Linked DNA regions of Saccharomyces cerevisiae S288C. Changing the gene in region 2 together with the main gene of any one other region gives a genetic interaction. Each region holds a gene or a part of one and is shown on either strand. Other genes may lie near its edges.

Region 1 (3,200 bases), on a different chromosome or scaffold from region 2:
TTAGTGCGAACGCCTACGTGTCTTGTTAACTTATCATGGTTGCCAACGCGAACGTTTACAACAGGTTCAAAGGCAGGATGAAAAATTACGCCAAATAGGCAGGTTTTCAATATTAAAGAGTTAAGTATGCAAAATTTACAAAAAGTTAATGGTCAAAGTATAACTATAAAAATATAATAAAACAATAAACAATAACAACTCTCAGAATTGCAAAGCTTGACCCTTTTGCTTCTTTTCACCACCCAATTCGAAGTGCTTACATCTCTTCAAGGTTAATTGGGCTCTAGTCTTACATTTGACACATTCCAATCTCAAAACAACCTTCTTGGTAGTCTTAGCTTTCTTGTGGAAAACAGGCTTGGTTTGACCACCGAAACCAGATTGTTTACGGTCATAACGTCTCTTACCTTGAGCGAACAAGGAAGCCTTACCAGCTTTGTATTGAGTAACCTTGTGTTGAGTGTGCTTACGACAGGTCTTACCCTTACAGTAGGTCTTTCTGGTCTTTGGGACGTTAACTGGTTCAAAATGATATCACAGCAAATTTAGCATGATAGTTGATTGTTAGTAATTGATCTTAAAAAAAAAGTAATTTGACTGCACATGTAATTAGTTGTATCTTTTTTCTGTAATGGGGAAACGGCTAAATTCACAAATATCTAATGAGTATTACTAATGATATCCTCAATATATTTTCTAACCAGAGTTCTTATTAAAAGGGCCAATAAAAGTATCATTCAGGTGTTCAGTACTTTAGGAAATGATGAAAATATTTAACTAGCTCAAAAGTAAATGAAGTTTAATAACTATTAGTTTCTTGCTTGACATGGATTTGCCCTACGATTCAGGATATTTTAAAAAGTTCTTTAGCATTCTAGTAGTACCTGTGTACTAATTACACTCTCACGCCCTAATGGAGATAAATAACATGGTTTGTCTATTCCTAATCGTCCACATACCCATTATTACTGATTGTTTTTTTGCTTAATCTCCTTCAATTTACGTTAAAACAGTGAAAATACCACATCAATTAAGATATACATTGTCAACAATATGGATGTATCTCTGAGTTCATTTCGACGAATAATTTTACCTCTCTTGGTGGAAAGCCTTCCCTCCCCCTGGCGGAACCCATCATCCCGTCGAACAACTAAACCGTCAGCGTTGCCGCACCGACGGACGTCTCTCTAGAGGTCGTCTCTCCGTCTGAACATACGCACTGTTGGTACGATGCAGCGGCAGTCTGGCCGCATTTTTGACAGCGATCTTTTTTTGTATCAAGACTTCTTCCAATGTCAGGATTTATTTTCATGATGTATGGGTGTATCGGATGTTCGGATGTCACTGTCTTTTATTTTGAAGTTTGTGACAGAGAATGCTATGGAAAATAATATGTAGCAACATAGCCAACTAATTGCCATTGCATTAAATTTTGGCAGTACTATTTAAAATGCCATGTTTTATGTTGTTACAGTAAGTTATTGACATTCTTCTGGTGTTGCCCGCTTCGCTTTCTTAAAACGGTTAAATATTGAAAAAGTTTCACAAGACACGAAATCAAAAAGGATCCATTTTGGTATAAAAATAGCATATTGCATAACTTAACTAAAAAGATTAAAAAAAGTCAAAGCTACACTGGCATACTTTGAACTGTTTTTTCAAAGCTGTCTCCACGTGGAAAGTTTATTTCATCAAAACTATTATCAAAAATTGTGGTTTTGTTAATACAAAAGCTGATATATATATAATATGGCATTTAGTGATTTTGCTGCCATATGCTCAAAGACCCCGTTGCCATTATGTTCGGTAATAAAGTCTAAAACCCATCTAATACTTTCGAACTCAACAATTATACATGATTTTGATCCTTTAAATTTGAATGTCGGTGTACTGCCACGCTGTTATGCTCGGTCGATTGATCTTGCCAATACAGTCATCTTTGATGTCGGGAACGCATTCATAAATATTGGTGCTCTAGGTGTCATTTTAATCATACTTTATAACATAAGACAGAAGTATACTGCTATTGGCAGGTCTGAATATCTCTACTTTTTCCAACTAACATTGCTATTGATAATATTTACCTTGGTGGTAGACTGTGGTGTATCTCCCCCCGGCTCTGGGTCATATCCATACTTCGTGGCTATACAAATAGGACTGGCGGGTGCATGTTGCTGGGCCTTATTGATAATCGGGTTTTTAGGTTTCAATTTATGGGAAGATGGGACTACAAAGTCCATGCTGTTGGTCCGTGGAACGTCCATGCTAGGATTCATAGCCAATTTTTTAGCCTCTATTTTAACCTTCAAAGCATGGATCACCGACCATAAAGTAGCAACAATGAACGCTTCAGGGATGATTGTCGTCGTTTACATAATAAACGCCATTTTCTTATTCGTTTTCGTTATTTGTCAATTACTGGTATCCCTATTGGTAGTTCGAAACTTATGGGTCACAGGAGCTATCTTTTTGGGGCTATTTTTCTTTGTAGCAGGCCAGGTATTGGTTTATGCCTTCTCTACACAAATTTGTGAAGGGTTCAAGCACTACTTAGATGGCCTCTTTTTTGGAAGCATCTGTAATGTGTTCACATTAATGATGGTTTACAAGACTTGGGATATGACTACCGACGACGACTTGGAATTTGGTGTAAGTGTTAGCAAGGACGGTGACGTGGTGTATGATAATGGATTTATGTGAAATGCTTCTTTTTTCTATTACCATATATAGAAAATAGGTGTATACTATTAGTTTAATGTAATAAGCAGGACTATGACAAACCAAAGAGTGAAAGTAGCCGTTTCCACGTTTTAACGGCTTGTGTACACTTTGACAGTCAATCAGCGTAGTGACTTCTTTTATCAGCGGAAACAACCATATCCATAAAAGAAACGTGATGGTCGTTCCCGTAGTTTATTAAGTAAGATGACAAATTATCCTTCTTTAGTCAATTGAAAACAAAACTTCTTAATCTGTTTCCAATGTTTTAAAGTCGCTCATATGTTCATGACTACTTTTCCATGAGAGGGTTCTACGAAAAGCATCATCTTATTTTCGCAACGCTGCGGGTTTAGGCCTTTCCGCTGGTCTCTTTTCTGTTTACAGTTCTGCCCGAATGTAAACAAATACTTTGCGAAAAGTAAATAATGTATTCTGAAAAAAAAAAAGAGAACTGTGAACAATGCTTGATAGTTGTAGGA
Region 2 (4,383 bases):
TTCTAGAAGAAATCGAGCGGGGGAAAAAGATACATAGAAGGATAATGTGATTAAATAAAGTTTGATGTCTAAGGCTATGCAATGGCTATGCAATCCAGGGGGGGTTACCTACTTAAAAGGGGTCGCTACTAAGTATACTATCGTCTTGACTGTCGGGTATAATTATAGGATTGCTTTTGGTCTCACCTGCCATCTGGAAGAGACTTGAAGGAGTAGATAAAAGGGACATGTCTAAGTCGCTGGCGTTAGAAGAGCAGACAGAGCTTTCATTCGATGCTGAACCCGGAGAGCAAAGCAAAGTCAGGCGCAGTTGCGTCCTCTGTGTTATAACCAGCATTAAGTATTCTCTCCACAGTTCCAACAGCAGTTGCTCCTTTCTTGCATGCGATTTGGTGTTCAATTTTCCTCTTCTTTTTGGGTGGTACAACACACTAGGGGAAGTATTGGACCGCCCCACATTCTTGTTATAAACAGATCTTGTGGTTGGGGTCGTTGAATTCTGTTTAATTGTTTTCGTCGCCGTCGCAGGCATAGTCGTCGGGAGACTACCTGGTTGTGATTTGGGTAGTTTCCTACTTATGGAGCGGTTCCTTAGATACGGTGGACGACTACTGGTTGCATACATCTGGCTTCTTAAAAATGGGATAGGAGTTACCGCAGGGTCCCTGCTAGTGAGATTTCTGATAGCGTGTAAGTTTACCGGTTGCGAAGCCAGGACATTTGCAATATCCATTTGTTCCAGTTCTATATAGTTCAAAACGGATGTCAGCTCCTTCTTGCTCCTGAATCTTGACCGTACCTTTGCTTGCCTGTCTTCCCTGCGTATGGAGTGTTGCCTCTTCAAAAACCCTTTGTGAAAAATGAAATTATGATTCTTGCTGAACTTGGAGAGTTCATTTTTGCTGGTAAAGTCTGTTCTTCGTTGTGAAGTGTGTCGAATTGGCTTTGCGTTTATGGTAGGAGAGCGAGACCTCATCTTATAATTCGACCATTGCGTAAACTGTTCCATCACTTCAGTGCTTTCAACCTGGTCCGCTTTGCTTATGTTACGGTTCCTCAAGTGCGAAGCATCGTGGTACTCCATATATGGTTTGAAGCTGTCGTGTGTTATATGAGAGTCATCCGATATTTGCACTATAGGAATCTTGGTATCTGAATTTGAATTTGTGTTCGAATTTGTGTTCGAATTTGTGTTCGAGTTCGAGTTCGAGTTCGATGTAGAATCCACAAGCGCATGTATATAACCTGAAGTGGTAAACCCACCGGTACCCAGGGGAGGTGGGAACAAAGTCGGGGGATAAGACTGAGTCCCAATGCTAGTCTCGTATGTCTCCATTGTCTGTATGGTTGTATTTCAAGACGTATCTGCAAGAAAACTGATGTTTGCGAGTTAGGAACAGGGAAAAATACATGAATTAAGAAATACGAACGATCTTAACTATTTTCAACAGTACCTGAAACATGGATGTAAAAACGTAGAAGATACCCGAATAAAGTGGGGCGCACACCGGACTTGAAACCACTCCTCCTTTACCAAGCACTAATTTAAGCTAATCTAATTTAACGCAGTACATTTTGTATGCGCGGCAGCAGCTTAATACATTGCTGTCATTCACTAATGGAAAAAAAAAAAAAAAAAAAAAATCAAAATATAAAAATAAATATTAAGAACTTAAAAAGACAAACCAGCCATCGCGTGGCGCTAGCACATATATCTTACCCGACGGAGAGCCGGGTAAAGAAGTCGGGTAACCATTAAAATAAAAAATCAGCACACCATAGCACGATCTACGAGAAACGGAAAAGTGTTAGAGATCACATACTGCATACTTGGCAAGAAGAAGGTTCGTTTTTCCCTTCTGATACTGTAAAAGATTAGGTTGGTAGAAGAAATCTACATAGTAGAACTCACACCCCATACACACAAAAAAGGCAACAATGGACAAAATCAGAGAAAAGCTAAGCAACTTGAAGTTGGAAGCCGAATCATGGCAGGAGAAGTACGAGGAGTTGAAAGAGAAGAACAAGGACTTGGAGCAAGAGAACGTCGAAAAGGAGAATCAGATCAAGTCTTTAACCGTCAAAAACCAGCAATTGGAGGATGAGATCGAGAAGCTGGAAGCGGGACTTTCTGACTCTAAGCAAACAGAACAGGATAACGTTGAAAAAGAAAATCAGATCAAGTCCTTGACGGTGAAGAACCACCAATTGGAGGAAGAGATCGAGAAGTTGGAAGCAGAATTGGCTGAATCCAAGCAATTGTCCGAGGACTCTCACCACTTGCAGTCCAACAACGACAATTTCTCCAAGAAGAACCAGCAATTGGAAGAAGACTTGGAGGAAAGCGACACCAAGCTAAAGGAAACCACTGAGAAATTGAGAGAGTCCGACTTGAAGGCAGATCAATTGGAAAGAAGAGTAGCTGCCTTGGAAGAACAAAGAGAAGAATGGGAAAGAAAGAACGAGGAATTGACCGTCAAGTACGAAGACGCAAAGAAGGAACTGGACGAAATTGCTGCATCTCTGGAAAACTTGTGATCTACTTTTGTTTTTTGTTTTCTTTTTCTTTTCCCCAACACGCTGGTCTTTGTTCCTTGTTCTTGAGCAAATCAAACGCTCATGGGCAAACGAAACTAAAATAAGAACCATTTATACAAATACAATAGCTTAGACTATACATCTGTATACTTTTCCCTTGAAGATGTTTTTGTTCTTTACCGTTTGCGTGCTGATTTATGATGTTTTTACATTGGGCGTTATTACCCGAGCGGCGTTTTGTTCGTGGGACTCACACTTGTGCCTGCTCCCATGTTAAGTTTTGCACGGTTTATCACATGGACAAAGGCATTCTCATATTACACAGCTACATGTGATATATATCGGGCGTTTCCACGTGTACAAGAACCTGAAAAGTTTATCGGAAGACTAAGTTTTGGGTTGCCCACCGTCTGTGCATCTACGTGAACACACCAGGGTTTCTCATTTCTTTTTTCTTTAAGTTTTTTTTCTCTTCCCTTCCCTTCCTTTGGTCAAATAATCTTATTTGATTCTTCAGGGTTTTAAAAAACCAGATGACGTGGATACTAAGTACTGGTATGGGCCCTCATGAGGACAAGTATGCCAAGCATGAGCGAGCGACCTTTAAAAAGACGTACAGTTCTATGAAAACGCTGTCTTTGAATCATTTAACTGCCAAGCAGCATATGCTGATGGCCTTATGCAGGGACATATCCCTTTTACCGCCGTTAACTTACATCTTCACATCTCTGCGGAAGGCTTGGAGAGTCTCCATGCGCACCAGCATAACGCTTTACGAGCCACAATCACTAAGAGATGCGTTCACTTATTTCTGGCAAAAACTCAATAGCGCTTACGACAATAACTCATCATTTGAAGGAGCTTCGCAAAAGGCTGTGAATGGCGACGGTAAGGATTCACTCCTATTATCCGCACTCACTACAGCAAGAGCGTCTGAATATCTCCTTTGCTCACTTTGGTGCCTGGTGTCTTTATACCTCTCGTATGCCATTCTCGACTCTTTGATGGTCCGATGGATCGTCAAGTACTCTACTGTGGCCGCCATTTTAAGAATGTTTTCCATGTCATTGATCATTGTCACCTTAGAACTCCTTCTTTTGTCGTCTTTGTCTCCGGAACTCGACTATTTTTTGCATACATGGATACTCATTAGTTGTGTACTAACAGCAGTGTACATTTGGCAAAGTTATCTTACCTCGGATCTGAGGTATATCAGGAACCAGGAAGGCGAAGTACAAGAGGATACTAATGTTCCAGAAGAAACAGAAGACTATGAGGATGGTGAAGATGACGCTGATGAAGACTCACATGTTGTGGTAGCCGACGAAAGTACAGTAGATGTTCCTTCCAACGACAGTCTCTCCGATAACAGTGATGGCGGATTGTTTCCTGTTAACAGGCCCTCAGTCTCTCATTCACAAAGCCCTAAAAGACCCAAAAAATATCCAAAAAAAGCATTCAATTTTACCACTAAGCGAACGATAGATCTATATAAAATCACGGTTCTTTGTGTCGTCCCTGTGGGACTAGCTAGTTTTATCACCATGTTAGGTTTACTGCGAAACCTGTTCATCCAAAGATTGGATGTAGAGCAATTAGAAAGAATACTGCATGAAATGCATCCCCCCGCATGAAAAAAATAAAAGAAAAATATATAATATATATGTATATGTATATGCTGCAACAGCTCTAACTATGTATCTATATTTACGCTACAAGATCATCCCTACATAATCATTCAATTAAGATTCCTGGAAGTTAATATGTTACATGACAGCTGAAGATACAATATCCCTATTGACGACATGGCGCTCATTATAGAAATGAAATATATTTGTTCTTTAA

Evidence for each region. A genetic interaction does not mean that the proteins touch.
Region 1: mutations in TPM1 (region 2) and CHS7 together harm fitness more than expected from each alone (negative genetic interaction), as found in Saccharomyces cerevisiae (5 studies listed by BioGRID, with this or other methods).

The regions. Positions count from the first base shown.
Region 1 is NC_001140.6:381,789-384,988, forward strand, and holds CHS7 (Chs7p), read left to right. Parts: upstream 1-1,749; coding exon 1,750-2,700; downstream 2,701-3,200. Other genes in the region: 60S ribosomal protein eL42 RPL42B, read right to left, coding at 202-518, 960-963. UniProt on the Saccharomyces cerevisiae protein: Chaperone required for the export of the chitin synthase CHS3 from the endoplasmic reticulum.
Region 2 is NC_001146.8:476,721-481,103, reverse strand, and holds TPM1 (tropomyosin TPM1), read left to right. Parts: upstream 1-1,938; coding exon 1,939-2,538; downstream 2,539-4,383. Other genes in the region: NIS1 (Nis1p), read right to left, coding at 113-1,336; EOS1 (Eos1p), read left to right, coding at 3,072-4,172.